Linked DNA regions of Saccharomyces cerevisiae S288C. Changing the gene in region 4 together with the main gene of any one other region gives a genetic interaction. Each region holds a gene or a part of one and is shown on either strand. Other genes may lie near its edges. The genes, in order: SST2, YPL245W, PTC2 and TOF2.

What was found.
Region 1: mutations in TOF2 (region 4) and SST2 together harm fitness more than expected from each alone (negative genetic interaction), as found in Saccharomyces cerevisiae (2 studies listed by BioGRID).
Region 2: mutations in TOF2 (region 4) and YPL245W together harm fitness more than expected from each alone (negative genetic interaction), as found in Saccharomyces cerevisiae (2 studies listed by BioGRID).
Region 3: mutations in TOF2 (region 4) and PTC2 together harm fitness more than expected from each alone (negative genetic interaction), as found in Saccharomyces cerevisiae (2 studies listed by BioGRID).

The regions. Positions count from the first base shown.
Region 1 is NC_001144.5:1,038,705-1,043,185, reverse strand, and holds SST2 (GTPase-activating protein SST2), read left to right. Parts: upstream 1-1,819; coding exon 1,820-3,916; downstream 3,917-4,481. Other genes in the region: RIF2 (Rif2p), read left to right, coding at 200-1,387; leucine-responsive transcriptional regulator LEU3, read right to left, coding at 4,433-4,481. UniProt on the Saccharomyces cerevisiae protein: Desensitization to alpha-factor pheromone. Is involved in regulating the signaling pathway for responding to mating pheromone.
Region 2 is NC_001148.4:83,761-87,515, reverse strand, and holds YPL245W (uncharacterized protein), read right to left. Parts: upstream 1,931-3,755; coding exon 566-1,930; downstream 1-565. Other genes in the region: UDP-galactose transporter HUT1, read left to right, coding at 1-502; putative rhomboid protease RBD2, read left to right, coding at 2,219-3,007; YPL247C (uncharacterized protein), read left to right, coding at 3,320-3,755.
Region 3 is NC_001137.3:335,438-339,284, forward strand, and holds PTC2 (type 2C protein phosphatase PTC2), read right to left. Parts: upstream 1,904-3,847; coding exon 509-1,903; downstream 1-508. Other genes in the region: anthranilate synthase TRP2, read left to right, coding at 2,512-3,847. UniProt on the Saccharomyces cerevisiae protein: Dephosphorylating regulator for many key proteins. Dephosphorylates the cell cycle master regulator CDC28/cyclin-dependent kinase 1; its activity appears redundant with phosphatase PTC3.
Region 4 is NC_001143.9:458,424-463,164, reverse strand, and holds TOF2 (Tof2p), read left to right. Parts: upstream 1-1,925; coding exon 1,926-4,241; downstream 4,242-4,741. Other genes in the region: chromatin-associated RNAPIII regulator FPT1, read left to right, coding at 469-1,530.

The DNA.
Region 1 (4,481 bases), on a different chromosome or scaffold from region 4:
AGGTCAAAGGGCAACCCGGCTTAGTTATCTTGAAAGTTATTATTTTAGTTTTCTAATTTTGCAGCTGTTTTCAATGAAGAAAACATTGCGCTTACAGATATGTACAGAAGGGATCTTCTTAACCATCAATTTCAATAAGTTAGAACAATATATGTACGAATATAGATATAAATACGAACGTGGTTAGTATATAGAGACAATGGAGCATGTAGATTCCGATTTTGCACCTATAAGGAGATCGAAAAAGGTTGTTGACAGTGACAAGATTGTGAAAGCAATAAGCGATGATTTGGAGCAAAAAAATTTTACTGTACTGAGAAAGTTGAACCTTGTTCCAATTAAAAAAAGTGTTAGCAGCCCAAAGGTGTGTAAGCCGAGTCCAGTTAAGGAGCGAGTGGACCATGTTTTCTACCAGAAGTTCAAATCAATGGCCTTGCAAGAGCTAGGCACCAATTATTTGTCAATAAGCTACGTTCCGAGCTTAAGTAAGTTTCTTTCAAAAAATCTTAGGAGTATGAAAAATTGTATCGTTTTCTTCGACAAAGTTGAACATATACACCAATATGCTGGTATCGACCGTGCAGTTTCAGAAACACTGTCTTTAGTCGATATAAATGTCGTAATTATAGAAATGAATGACTACTTAATGAAAGAGGGTATTCAATCAAGCAAATCAAAAGAATGTATCGAGTCAATGGGGCAGGCTTCATATAGCGGACAACTAGATTTCGAAGCTAGTGAAAAACCTTCAAATCACACGTCTGACCTAATGATGATGGTTATGAGGAAAATAAATAATGACGAAAGTATCGATCATATTGTCTACTTCAAATTCGAACAATTAGATAAATTATCTACTTCAACTATAATAGAACCTTCGAAGCTTACCGAATTTATCAATGTTTTATCGGTACTTGAAAAAAGTAATAACATTGCATTTAAGGTCCTCATTTATTCAAATAACGTTAGCATTTCGTCTCTCCTATCGACATCCCTCAAAAAGAAACTCAACACAAAATATACTGTGTTTGAGATGCCGATATTAACATGCGCTCAAGAACAAGAATATTTGAAAAAAATGATAAAGTTTACCTTTGATTCCGGAAGCAAGTTATTACAGTCTTACAACTCGCTTGTCACATGCCAGTTGAATAATAAAGAATCCAACTTAGCAATCTTTTTCGAATTTTTGAAGGTCTTTCCGCACCCTTTTACCTATTTGTTTAACGCTTACACTGAGATTATAGTCCAGAGTAGAACTTTTGATGAATTGTTGGATAAGATCAGAAACAGACTGACAATAAAAAATTACCCACATAGTGCTTATAACTTTAAGAAAAACCAGCGTCTTCCACTTAAGTTAACTCGAAAAGTACATGATAGATAAATTACCAAGGTCTTTTGAAAGAGTTCGAACAATACAAAGAGATGGCAACTCCTTTGGAAAAGTTCAAGTTGAACCACCTCCGTTGTCTCTATTAATGAAGAAGCCATGAAGTATGCGAAGTTTTAACTGAATCATCTTCAATAATTATGGGATGTCTGGGTTTTAAACGTTTCATAATATTCAATTTTGAAACAATGATCCCAATACTGCTTTTTTTTTGACTAGGACTTGGATTTGGTTGCTGGTGCGTTAGAATTGTTGTCTGTCCTGTTATATTTATACCGGTGAATGAAATCATAATCCCAGCTCTGTCTTTACTTCTCATCGTCCTTTAACTTTGGAGGTGTTACTGTCGTACGTTCCTTCTAGGTTTTGCACGCACTATCTGAGGCGTTATAGGTTCAATTTGGTAATTAAAGATAGAGTTGTAAGATGGTGGATAAAAATAGGACGTTGCATGAATTATCTTCCAAAAATTTCAGCAGAACGCCGAATGGACTGATCTTTACCAATGATTTAAAGACAGTATATTCCATTTTTCTAATTTGTTTGGATTTGAAAGAGAAAAAACATAGTAGTGACACTAAGTCTTTCTTATTAACTGCATTCACTAAACATTTCCACTTCACTTTTACATATCAGGAAGCTATTAAAGCAATGGGACAATTGGAACTAAAAGTGGATATGAACACAACTTGTATTAACGTTTCATATAATATTAAACCTAGTTTGGCGCGCCACCTTCTTACATTATTTATGTCTTCTAAGCTACTACATACACCGCAGGACAGAACTCGTGGCGAGCCAAAAGAGAAAGTTCTTTTCCAACCAACACCTAAGGGAGTTGCTGTTTTACAAAAGTATGTTAGAGATATTGGGTTGAAAACAATGCCTGATATTCTTTTGTCATCGTTTAACTCCATGAAACTTTTCACTTTTGAGAGAAGCTCTGTCACGGATTCAATCATCCATAGTGATTATTTGATCCATATTCTTTTCATTAAAATGATGGGCGCTAAGCCAAATGTTTGGTCTCCAACAAACGCAGATGACCCATTACCTTGCCTATCTTCGTTGTTGGAATACACTAATAATGATGATACATTTACTTTTGAGAAATCTAAGCCAGAACAAGGATGGCAAGCTCAGATTGGAAACATCGATATAAATGACTTAGAAAGGGTATCGCCATTAGCTCATCGATTCTTTACAAATCCAGATTCTGAGTCGCACACGCAATACTACGTTTCGAATGCAGGTATTAGGTTGTTTGAAAATAAGACGTTTGGCACTTCCAAAAAAATCGTGATTAAGTACACCTTTACAACAAAGGCTATATGGCAGTGGATAATGGACTGTACTGATATTATGCATGTTAAAGAAGCGGTCTCGTTGGCAGCGTTATTTTTAAAAACGGGGTTGATTGTACCAGTTCTTTTACAACCATCACGCACTGACAAGAAAAAGTTTCAAATTAGCAGGTCCTCTTTTTTTACCTTGTCCAAGCGTGGTTGGGATTTGGTTTCTTGGACAGGTTGTAAGAGCAATAATATTAGAGCACCAAATGGTAGCACCATAGACCTAGATTTCACATTAAGGGGTCATATGACTGTTCGTGATGAAAAAAAGACATTGGATGATAGTGAAGGTTTTTCTCAAGACATGCTTATCTCTTCGAGTAATTTAAATAAACTGGACTATGTGCTAACTGATCCAGGTATGAGATATTTATTCAGGCGCCATTTAGAAAAGGAACTTTGTGTAGAAAATTTGGATGTCTTCATTGAGATTAAGAGGTTTTTGAAGAAAATGACAATTCTGAAAAAATTGATAGATTCTAAGCATTGTGATAAAAAATCTAATACCAGTACTTCAAAAAACAATATCGTAAAAACGATTGATTCAGCTTTAATGAAACAGGCCAATGAGTGCCTTGAAATGGCATATCACATTTATTCGTCCTATATCATGATAGGATCACCATATCAATTAAATATCCATCATAACTTGCGTCAGAATATTTCTGACATCATGTTGCACCCTCATTCTCCATTATCGGAACACTTTCCTACTAATCTATACGATCCATCACCTGCATCCGCGGAATCAGCAGCTTCATCAATTAGCTCAACGGAGGCTGACACGTTAGGTGAACCACCTGAAGTGAGTCTAAAACCTTCAAAAAATCTTTCAAATGAAAACTGTTCATTTAAGAAGCAAGGATTCAAACATCAGTTAAAGGAATATAAACCTGCCCCGTTAACTCTGGCAGAAACGCATTCGCCTAATGCATCAGTAGAAAATTCACATACAATTGTTCGTTATGGCATGGACAACACCCAAAATGATACCAAATCGGTTGAATCATTTCCAGCAACTTTGAAGGTCCTCAGGAAATTATATCCCCTCTTCGAGATCGTTAGCAATGAAATGTATAGACTGATGAATAACGATTCCTTTCAAAAATTTACCCAGTCAGACGTATACAAAGATGCTAGCGCTTTAATAGAAATCCAAGAAAAGTGCTAATTTCATTGAGAGTCTTACTCATCTTCAGGTACAATTGCACAAACAGTCCTTTTTTTTTTCTTTAGTTCTCCTAACCTAATATGTCTTGATACCCATAAGGACTGTAAATACTATTACGTATAAATTAAGCGGAGGTGTGATTTGTTATATCAACTATAATATGATTAAATAAAGCCATTTATTATCTAGTATAATTTCCAATCCTGAGATGTGACTAACGTGAGCGCTTACGAATCTTCGCATCATACACCTGTGGCCAAGGCTGGTTGGCGGTTTAAGTCCGTCTGAAAACTTTTTTTTACGTCATTTGAAGATCAAAAGTATTGAACATATACCTAATGACACAGTTTTTTACACTTTTTTTGAGTTAAATTATTCAAGGACAAAAAATAGTGTGCGTAAATGGAAGAAATATAAACGTATATAGAAAATCATTTACCTCTCCTGTAGCACCGCAGTCATTACATAACATTTTTTCGAGGGTAAGTAAACATTACGCAAAAAAAGAAAAGGACTTTAAACCTTGGGATTGAACGCAAATTCATTCATTAAAATATCAACATCC
Region 2 (3,755 bases), on a different chromosome or scaffold from region 4:
ACAAGGGTTTGGACTACTTTTCTCTAGTTTATTCCTTGATGGATTGACCAACGCCACCCAAGATAAGCTACTAAAGGCCAATAAGGCCAAAGAAAAGGGAAAACAAACTTTGATAACAGGTGCACACTTGATGTTTACACTGAACCTCTTCGTGATATTGTGGAATATTTTGTATTTTATTGTGATCGACTGCAAACAATGGGATAATGCCGTTTCTGTATTGACGATGGACCCACAAGTGTGGGGCTATTTAATGCTTTATTCGTTCTGTGGCGCTATGGGACAATGCTTTATTTTCTATACTCTAGAACAATTTGGCTCTTTAGTTTTGATCATGATAACAGTCACCAGGAAAATGGTCTCGATGATTTTGAGTATTATTGTCTTCGGTAAGAGTGTACGTTTCCAGCAATGGGTGGGGATGTTTATAGTATTTGGTGGAATCACTTGGGAAGCACTCAACAAGAAGAAGGCTAATATACCGAAGGCAAAATCTGCGTAGATTAGTGAAGATCGCAACAAATAAAAGTTAATATTTATAAAATTTGTCTATACTATGTACTTCCTATTTTTTTGATGGACGAAGCAGTCTCTCTCTTAATTCAGGATCGTATGCATAAACATACAGACCACGCACGCCACGAGTTAAGAGGACATTAATGCTATTCATAATAATCTTTTGCTTAACGTCCTCTGCATTGTGAATGTTTTTCTTTTTGGTGAAACCGGCCCTATCGTCATACAGCTCTGGTCTTAGTTTGATGCAGTCATTAGCCGCATCATACCCAATGGAACGGCCCAAAATTACACCAGCATAATTCAGATCAAACCCTTGGATAGTATACACACTACCTACCTCATCAATCGTGTCGCAACGCTCACTCCAAGGCGTCACTTCACGTGGAGTATAGCGATCCCAGCGAACTTTGAAATTGTCACCACATTCAACGTAATAGTCTTTTCCGTCCAAGCGATAGGGAAAATCGTAAGTAGATAGCATCCTACATTGGCCGTATTGACGGTCTTTCTCCTTGATTGCCTCGTACATGGCGCCACAATCATCCCAAATTTTGAAATCAAAATTCTTAATTTTATCGTCAGCACAATCTGCATTGCCCTTAGATAGCACAGATTCAATTGGTGGGATTTTACCTGCGACACTAATTTGGTCAATCCAGTTCAACACGTTTTGTGGGGCAGCAACCCTAAACTGCTGTTTTAAAGTGTACCAGTCTCTGGATTTTGGTGGAATCTCGTTGTAAAAGTCCTTTAAAGTGGCACCGTTATTAGAACCTTCATCCCAATAGGAACCCATTCTTAAAGCTTGCTTATCATCGTAAACCAATACAAGCACTTTACAAAGGGACATTAAGTCTTTGAGATGGTTTTCGCCATAAAATCTTTTGAAAGCATCCTTAGAAGTGGCCAACAAATGTGCTTCATCTACAATGACTACATCGGCCATGACTTTTCTCTTCTGTAGATTGTTGATCAACGAAGTGGGCCGTTCTAGTGACGATTTAGAAATATATTTGAAACTGTCACTAATCCGGATATATAACTTTAACATCTCGGGATGGTTGACTACCAGATAATTATGTGTCCCATGTAAGATATCTTCAGAAGAAGGTGAGAACTGGGATAGTTTCTGAATTTCATTGAACAAGGAGTTTAGAATCACAGACTTGCCTGTACCTGCGTCCCCTTGGATTACAAACATGGCCGGATGTTTCCAGTCAGACTTGTACTGAGATAAGTTGGAACGCATGAACGACAAAACGCGCTCTCTCAACTTTTCTTGTTCAGCAGAGAGTGTTACGTTAGACAACTTGTTCATAGCCTGCGTGGAGACCACGGGCCTAGGTGCTCTTCTTGGTCTCTTCACGCTTCTCACATTGCGGGAAATAGCTTTTGAAGTAGGCCCATGCATTTTATATGGTTCTAATGGAAGTTAAATGCTACTACCGGGTCGCCAAGAAAGATGCGATGCCATGCTGCATACATATGCATAGATTGTTTATATATGGCGATGGCTGCTTTTATGATTTCTCGAGAAAATTTTTCACTTTTTTCGGCCCTTTGAGATCTAAAGCCTCTTTTTTTTTTTTTTTTTGAACTGCATCGATACAAGAAGAATAGGGGGATGGGAAAGGCTTAATTGGAAGCACTGAGAACAGCAATTCACTCTGGTTGTTAGGTTGTGCTATTTGGTCGTGCTATGAATTGGAAGTCGTACGTTTTTCCCGGTGGTCATCCACCAGCTGCGTTGACCACAGGCCTTGTGGTATTTCTAACCGCTATTTACCTGTTAAGTTTTATTTTTGCCCTAAGGGAAGACCTGTCGTTGGCGCCAGAGTCATTGTTCAAACTGCAAATGAGCAGGCTATCGCTTTATCCTTTAATTCACCTATCATTGCCTCATTTACTGTTCAATGTGCTAGCCATCTGGGCACCCTTGAATCTCTTCGAAGAAACGCATGGGACTGTGTACACAGGTGTTTTTTTGAACCTGAGTGCTCTATTTGCCGGAATTCTGTACTGTTTGTTGGGTAAGTTGCTATATCCAGAAGCATTAGTTGCAGGCGCCAGTGGGTGGTGTTTCACCTTATTCGCATACTATAGTTTTAAAGAATCACAGATCCGCCCTAGAACAAGGATCTTTCGCACAGACTACTCAATTCCGACATTATATACACCCCTAGTACTATTAGTCGCAATTGCCGTCGTTATACCTGGCTCCAGTTTCTGGGGTCATTTTTTCGGCTTATGTGTCGGTTACGCCATAGGCTACAAGGAATCGTGGTTTAACAAGATCACTCCACCAGGATGGATCATCACCAAAATCGAAAAAAGTTTAGACGGTTTAATTCGATTAATACCTTGGGGAATTAAGTATTACAGAGATGAGGATATCGACAGAACTAAAGATTACGAACCGTTAATGTCCACAGAAACACCATTGCCTCTCCACAATGACAACTCCGGCACTGTCCTAGGGACTGCCTAGACATTTGTATCGCTATTCTTTCTTTCACAGTTTAAGGATGTATATAAATGTAGTATATATCATTTTATATTCTAATATGCAAGAATTTTCAGTCTCTTCTTTTTCCTTAGCGTGCGTTTATGAAAAAAAATGGAATATGAATAATTACTGGGAGGAAGACCAGGGGCAAGGGGTGAACCATCTTGTCATCTGAAATCTTGTATAAATAATTTAGTAATCAGTTCTTTAGGTTTTCGAGAGTGGCATACAACCTAAAGGGTCAACAGACAACAAGAAGGAAAGGAATTATAGGAGCAAATACACGCCCTTCAAATGGATCCCTTTCACAATGGCAATAAAAGGAGCTCAATATCGTTTGGCTCATCGCAGCGGCAGCCATATAACAAGAACAATTACTTGAGTGGTACTAATGGGCCTTCCTCGGCGGCACAAGATCAAGGTAGAGGCCCATCTCCCTTTGGAATGTCTGGCAACACTACCAATGGCGGTAACAGCAAAAGGAATAGTGGCTGTGACCTAAGTGCCACGTACTATGCAAGTCGATCGCCGATGTATTCACCGTTAGATTTCTCGCCACCAGTTTTTTCACCAAATCATTCTCAGTTACAGCAGGCGAGGGGCTATGCTGCAAATATTCCGGTTGTAAGCAATCTGATGAACCCTTCCATGGCCTCCGTGTGCGAATATCAATCACACTATCCACTCTTTGGGCTCGATTGGAGCGCCGACGACTACGTCTGCTTGGGTT
Region 3 (3,847 bases), on a different chromosome or scaffold from region 4:
TGATTCCGTCTTGTCGAGGCTGTCGGAGAAAAGAGTAGCACACACGACGATAACAATAGATACGGTAGATTGGATGGGGCACAGATGTGCAAGGCAATGCGCGAATCCTGTCTACGATGTCTGTACCGTCCATCCTTTCTCCTTTGCATCGGAAACATCCGCGCTGTCTACCTTAGGAGGACCTCATGGGACGGGCGCTGGGGACTCGTGCCCATCCGGGACTGGGGGTGAGATTTCACAACGGGGCCGCTGCTGGTCTCACCCTCTGGCCGGGCCGGTCCGTTTTTGTGGCGTCGCTGCAGGTAAACGCGCAGTTTCTGCGCGTTTACCCCTGAGGTGAATACCATCTTCAAGCGTCAAACTGCATCCGGATATCCTGCTGTTGGTAGCGATGGTGGTGGTAGTGGTGTATGCTCTTGGTTCTGGTGGTGTCTTGCGTCTTCTCTTCTCTTTCTGTTCGTTCGGTTCGTATATAGGTATGTATATATAATGAAGGATGGAAGATCCTTCATTGCAAGTGGGAACGGCCGGCCTTGTGGTCAGTGTTACTGTCATTCTCGGGATGGGAGGAAGCCGGGTCATGGCCCATGGTTTGGAGCAGTTGGGCCAAGGCAGACTGGGGAAGAGTGTAGGTGACTTTGTTCCCGTTGCTGTCTGTCTTCACTCCTCCTGTAGCACCAAGTAGCGCCTCCAAGGATGCTAGATCAATGGGGCCGGAGGTCTTGCTCTTGGATTGGCTGGAAGGGTCAAGATTTTCTGCATCTGTGTCAGCGTCCGTGTCGTCTATGTCCATTGGATCGTCGTTATCGGCGGCAGTCACCGAGGCCACAGCGGCTTCGTGGTCGCGAGTGAATTTGTCCTGAGGTTTCTTCGTAGTGATAGCGAACACCTGTTCGTCGTTACATTTGGAAAAATCGTAGTAACTAAACACCCTTCTTCTCTTGTCTGCAAAAGAACGCACTGATGTGCGGTGGGCCTTGGACTTCATACGGTCGCTCCATTGAGCGACGTCTTCACCTTCTTTCAGCAGCGCGACAACCACTATACTCATGTTGTCGCATCCAATACCCGTCCCCTCTGTGGTGGGAGCACAACAGACATCGATGATCCGCGAAGAAATTTCATTCAATGTCTTGCCTTCGCGAAGGCCGAGATGAACCAAGTCCACACAATCTTGGGAAGTCAAACAATCCCAGATACCATCACAGGCTAAGATTACAAACTCGTCCCTATCGTAATCTAGAGAATGCTCGAGAATGTCCGGAACACATGTCACTATTTGCTCCTCGGGGCCCAATTTGGGGTTGGATTTGAACTCAAAATCACCAATGGCACGAGAGAGCGCCAAGTTACCGTTGACCCTATCCATTTCTACGAAGCCATCAGCTGCCACAATACGTGATTTTTCGCTTGCTAGAGTGGGCTTGTGATCGTATGATAATGCCTTTGCGTTCCCGTCGGTGGCGAGTACGGTTCTACTGTCACCAGCGTTACCACATACTAACAAGTTCTGGGACTTTGATACTAATATGGATGTAGCCGTACATCCGCTATGGTCTTCTTTCATCACAGGATCTTGTAACAGTTTCACGTCTGTGTTTATGAAAGTATCAATCAAAGCCCTTGGTAAATTTCCTTCATGGAACGATTTCTGCTCTTGCAGGATCTCCACTATTTTATTACCACAGTATTCTGCTACTTTAGCGCCACCATGACCATCGAATATACCGTAAAATGCAATATGGTCCTTATCGGACTTTGTCAAAACATTAGGCTCTAGAATGTGTGAATCCTCCATTGACATCCGCCACCCTTGCATTGCACACAGTCCAAACGCGGTCAAGGAGTCAGCACCGGAGTGGCTCTCTTTATCAATTACCGGGTTTGATAGAATTTGTCCCATTTTTCTTTTTCTGGTTCTCTATATTTTATACAACAATGGAATAGTCAAAATCCTAGGGATGTTATTAATCGGAAAACTACTATCTCGAACGAATAGTTATAATTAATCAATGAAAAAAAAAAAGAGAAAGTAAAAAATGTTACAACAACTAATATACACTAATTGTCCTTGATAACAGAACTTGTTGTAGTTTTATTCCGTGGGGAGGAGGGTGAATTTTTTTTATTTAGTTTTAAAGAACAAAACAGAAGTCTATATACTTAGCACTATAATATCCAGTTTCAATTTGCTCTGTCAGAATCCGAATTGGCTGGTTTTCTTTGTTTTACCATCCCCTTCCATTTATCAGCATGATATTTTTTTTTTTAGAATAATCCTTTCAATCGTTGAAGTAGTTTGTGGGAAAAAAAAAGTTGTTAAAGGCATTAACGTACACAGTGATTTGCTGACTCATTACGATTTTTCACTCATCGAAGTATTGTTAGATTTTGATATATTAACATGACTAAAGGGCTATGGTCCATCGTAGCAGAAGGCAATCATCACTTTAAAACCGAGGCCACAATCGATAATTAGCACTGATATTCTGATTGGAAAAAAGGCAAAAAATGACCGCTTCCATCAAAATTCAACCGGATATTGACTCTCTAAAGCAATTACAGCAGCAAAATGACGATAGTTCCATAAATATGTATCCCGTGTATGCGTATTTGCCATCATTGGATCTGACTCCTCACGTGGCATATCTAAAATTGGCACAATTGAACAACCCTGATAGAAAGGAATCATTTCTGTTGGAAAGTGCTAAGACAAATAATGAATTAGATCGTTATTCATTCATAGGTATCTCGCCACGCAAGACCATCAAAACCGGTCCTACTGAAGGCATTGAAACAGATCCTTTGGAAATTTTGGAAAAGGAGATGTCTACCTTTAAAGTAGCCGAAAATGTTCCTGGTTTACCGAAATTAAGTGGTGGTGCTATTGGTTATATTTCTTATGACTGTGTTCGTTATTTCGAGCCAAAAACAAGAAGGCCTTTGAAAGATGTCCTAAGACTTCCAGAGGCATATTTAATGCTTTGTGATACCATTATTGCCTTTGATAATGTTTTTCAGAGATTTCAAATCATTCATAACATTAATACCAATGAAACTTCGTTGGAGGAAGGTTACCAAGCTGCAGCACAAATAATCACTGATATCGTATCAAAGCTAACCGACGATTCCTCGCCAATACCATATCCAGAACAACCTCCTATTAAATTGAATCAAACTTTTGAATCGAATGTGGGCAAGGAAGGTTACGAAAATCACGTCTCCACTTTGAAGAAGCATATTAAGAAAGGTGATATTATTCAAGGTGTGCCATCGCAAAGAGTGGCAAGGCCAACTTCGTTACATCCTTTCAATATTTACAGACATTTACGTACAGTGAACCCATCTCCTTACCTGTTTTATATTGATTGTTTGGATTTCCAAATCATTGGTGCATCTCCAGAATTGTTGTGCAAATCGGATTCCAAAAATAGAGTCATTACCCATCCAATTGCTGGTACTGTCAAACGTGGGGCTACTACTGAAGAGGATGATGCTTTAGCGGACCAATTACGTGGCTCGTTAAAAGACCGTGCAGAACATGTTATGCTGGTAGATTTAGCAAGAAACGATATTAACAGAATTTGTGACCCATTAACAACAAGTGTCGATAAACTGTTAACTATTCAAAAATTTTCTCATGTCCAACATCTGGTTTCTCAAGTCAGCGGTGTTCTCCGCCCAGAAAAGACAAGATTTGATGCATTCAGATCGATTTTCCCTGCAGGTACTGTCAGTGGTGCTCCAAAGGTTAGAGCCATGGAATTGATTGCCGAACTAGAAGGAGAAAGGCGTGGGGTTTATGCAGGCGCCGTAGGTCATTGGTCATACGACGGTAAAACAATGG
Region 4 (4,741 bases):
TCATCAAGTAATCACCACTGATAACATGAAAGTGGCCATCCATTCCACTTTCTGTTTTCTTTCTATTGAGTGGTCAGTTAATGTGCTACTTCGCTGAAAACTTCCTTGTTTTAGCATGTGGCATTCTCAGTGTACATAATGATTTATAGCTCAAAGGCTTTTAATGTTTAGGTAGTTACAGACCTTTTGCCGCCGTGAATTTTTGACGTCTTGTAGTGCTGTGATATAATTGGACTATAAATCATTACCCGGCCTTTTAAGGCATGAGTGGCGTTCCAACGTGCTGTCAAAACTATGAGACCAAAAACCAAAACACACCCCTAAGAAATGTATAGGGATTTATATCAGCATAAAGGTGCCATAATTAAAGAGATTTAGCCTGAACCCATTACTATTCTGTTACAGTTAAGTACTCATACAGACAGCTAGAAAAAGAAGAAGAAATACCAAGTACAAAGAAAGGAAACCATGTCCAAGTTAGAAACCGTTTACTTATACGCTGGTGAAGAACAACCACGTGTTAAATTGACCTGTATTAAGGAAGGTCTCACTTTAACTCAGGTTATCAAGTTCGTGCATTCTATTCAAGAATTGTACGGGATTGAGTTGCAAACTTCTGAGACCATAACAGAAAATTTGAAGATAGATTGTGCACCCGCATATTTGAAGCCGAATTGTATTCCCCATTTCTACATTCTCGAATATGAAGAAATAAGTGACACCTTTTTCATTTGGAAATCTGATGGTCGTTGGCAATTAAATAAGTTGTCTGCCTTGTTGTACGTGGATAACGACGCTAACGTGGTTAAGAACACTTCCTGGAAGGAGGTTTTCCAGAATGATCAACGATTTAAAAATTATGATAAACGGGCCTGGTTACAAAATTGTCTAGAAAAAATGAATAGAGATCTCTCAAAACTAAACGTTGAACAATTTTGGTCTCAATATGATAAAATATGTCAAAGCATTGCCAAACAAAAGAAAAAACAGGAACAGTTCAACATGGAGGTTTTCGATAACTTCAAAAATATTGTTTCTATTGCTATCATAAAGACCAAAGTTTTATCGAATAAGCGACTTTTGACAACAACTTTAAAAAATTATCATAACTCGATGAAGAAAAAGTATAACATCCAGGAACAAAATCTTAAGGAAAATAGTTTGGCATCGTGCTCAAACAATGAGCCTTCCGCATCTCTGGAAAGCGAATCAAGACATTTTTCTCCGGTAAATTCGCTGTCTCCTTCATCTTTGAGTACCGATGATGAGGCTGTCTCGACAGACTACATCTATAAAGGTCCTGAGTCTAAACCAAACGTGAATTTCATGCATTCAAGTGCTACAAACGATCTGATCAAGTCAAATTTTGAAAGCTATTTTAAATTGATGGCCGAAGACTATGAAACTTTTGACTTGAGAGCCTGGTCGAGACAAAGACCTCGAAAATTTCAGCTTGTGGAAAAAAAAAAAATCACTAAAAACCCTCCTAATAGCCATCATCCGCATAAAAATGGCAAAATATCATTTTAACTATTTCCGGGAAAACATGTCTTTTTATAGCATCTACATCCATTAAATCAAGAGAATAAAAGTAAAACTCCAAAAGTATGTACGTATATAGAACCAATTATTCAATCATTTATAGAAATGTGACCTGTTTTTTCTCTACTATTGTTACATAGGCATCACGAAAAAAAGTCGCATTATACGATACTGTTATATAATTTTTTTCATATTCTTCAGATCTCAAATGCAAGATGGTCCTAATTTGTTTGTTTGTTTATTTATTAGTTTCGCTGAAGAAGGAAAACAAGTCATTTTTGGTTAGCTACCCAATTATACAAGCATTCAATAAATACGCCAATCTTTTGCCACATTTCTTATAATATCCTTTGCCCTCCTTGGTGTTTGGTTCAAATAAGTAAATGATAAAAATGTGGAGGTTACAGATTGTACTGGTGCCGCCAAGTGCTCAAGATATTATCACATTTCTCGAAGCACGCTTGAATACTCCACAATCAGTGTCTCCTATGGTCCAGTATAATGAAGATATAATTACGCACAACAACAGTATCAATAACTGTAGCGACCCCTCTCCTACGAGCCCGTCTTCGCAAAATTCTATTCAGTCGAATCGTAGTAGTGATTTCATTAACTACCTCCCGAATTGTAAAAAGTTTTTACATTTTACGGACGGTGACAATACCCTTTTACAACTATCTAATGAAATTTTAACTAAATTTGATAGACTTTATCCAAATTTCAAAGAATCCATTGAAATCGTATCTCTACAAGATAGGCATGGTTGTGATTTGGACTCTGAATTTATAATAAAAGACGTATTTGAAAATGATGGTGTGGTTTTGGTAATTTTAAAAGATGAATTAGACTGGAGTAGAAATCAACATATTTCACTTTTACAATTGGCAAGACAGCGGAGACGGCAGGACAACAAGCCATCCACAAAATCCATCGTTACTGAAAAGAGAAAAAAGATCTCTAAGGAAGACTTATCTTCTATATCAAATAAAGATACAATGCATCTAATAGCTAAAAGCTCGCTCAAGAATAACTTCATTAATAAATCAAGAGTATCAACGCCGCTAATGAACGAAATTCTACCGCTTGCAAGCAAGTATGATGCACTGAATAAAGAAAAGTGTCCCATGCCACTTACTTCCACAGTAGTGGCATCAAATGTACACAAAGACGTAAAAGATCACGCTCGTGCTAAAGAGGGAGTTGTAACGCAAGGGAGTGATAACAATAAAGAAAATATACCTTCATCCACTCAACAACAGAAAAATGATGGCGCTAAAAGGGCCGAATCAAAGGATTTAGATCTTTTACGCAATTCGTCAGAAGATGCTGATTATGAACCCGCAGATGAAAACTCCCCTCAAATTTCGTTTGATTCGATTGATACCGACTTCCAATTGAGCACTACTTCTCATACTAATTCTGATATGCATATACAATATTCTAACCCCTCTAGTGGTGCTCATAGTCCCAGGAAGAGTTCCTTAGAAATTAAAGTTCAAAACAAAAAAGGTGATGATCTGCCATTGAACGACAAAGATATAGGTGAGAATTGTAGAAGGATAGAAGCATTTTCAGATGAAGAGGATTTTAATGAAACCGATAATGATCGTGCGGATTCGTTTATCAACAATTCTAAGAAGGCATCGATGGGATTTCGGGATATCAATTCCGACTTGGATAGCGTTTCATTCAACAGTGATATTGAAAATGCAGTACAAAGTACTCAAAGTACCAAAAATGTTGTTTCTCCTCCCTTTTTTCCTGAAAAAGAATTGAATAATCGGTTACATCAAAGTCAAGGTAAGGAAGCCCTATTTCGACTTGTTGAGAAGGAGTTTCCTGATAAATCATTGGGTGCTGCGTCATCTACTTCGCATGCAAAAGACGTAAAAATACAAGAAACTATTCGGAAACTAAATAGGTTCAAGCCAACTGGGGAAACTAAGGTCCAAAAAAGGAATAGTATTACGGAACCATATTACGGAAAATTTGGAATAATGAAGAAAGATAAACCCAAATCCATAACTTCAAAAGGGGTAAGTCTGGAAACAAAGCACTTTGATGATCCCAATACCATTATTTCCGGTGAGAAATTCGCAAAATTTGGTAAAATAAAAGTGAAACGAAAAACTGATGATGTTGGATCGAAAGTTATAGAGTTTAAAAGAAAAAGAAATATGGGGAATAGATCCCTAAAAGATATTTTTGCCAATGCTGGGAAACCGCCAAATGCAGCTTCGACCATAAAAGTAGTCAAATTAATGAGAGATCCTGTTGATAATAGTAAAGACAAAGTGGAGGCAACTTCTAATAGTACGGCTCAGGAACAAGAACAAGTCTCACCCAAGTTGCCAGTTATGAATTCAACTCCTGGAAAAAGAAAAAATGGCCAAGCGATACCGTCCAGTTTAGAAAGAACACCGCAGCTCAAGAAAGTCAAGGTTACCAGGTCGCATTCTTCACCTTCTTCTTCTTCTTCCATGTCACTTGAATCTTCATTGGATAGCTCTTCCTCAGATGATTCGGATGATGATTCTGATTCGAGGAACGTGCAAGTTAAAAAAATTAATTTCAAAACAAGTCATGGACCAGCTGGAAATTCTAATGGAAAACCAATGCTGGATGTGGATGACAATGAAATAAATACAAAGAAGTACCAAACACCTAAATATGTTGAAAGTGATGAAGACGACCAGTAAGTCTGTCAGTAATTATGTTGGGATCTCTCAACCATATCTTAAATATTCTTGGCGAATTGTAGTAATTTTTTAGACTGGTTAATGATATCATAATTAAATCTTCAAAAGCAACCAACAAAAGAGAACTAATAGCGTACGGTATGCATCAATTATATATGATTATAACGGACTTTTATTCATGGACGTTTATATCATTCTGGATTATTCGTCATTATTGTTCATTGTTGAACACAATATAAAAAAATATAAAATATGGTTGCTAAGAGATTCGAACTCTTGCATCTTACGATACCTGAGTATTCCCACAGTTAACTGCGGTCAAGATATTTCTTGAATCAGGCGCCTTAGACCGCTCGGCCAAACAACCACTTATTTGTTGAAAATTTTAGAATTCAAGTATACCCAGTCATGTATTAAGTTAATCTTTATGTCATCTTTCTAAACTTTATATGTGTTGGAATAAAAATCCACTATCGTCTATCAACTAATAGTTATATTAT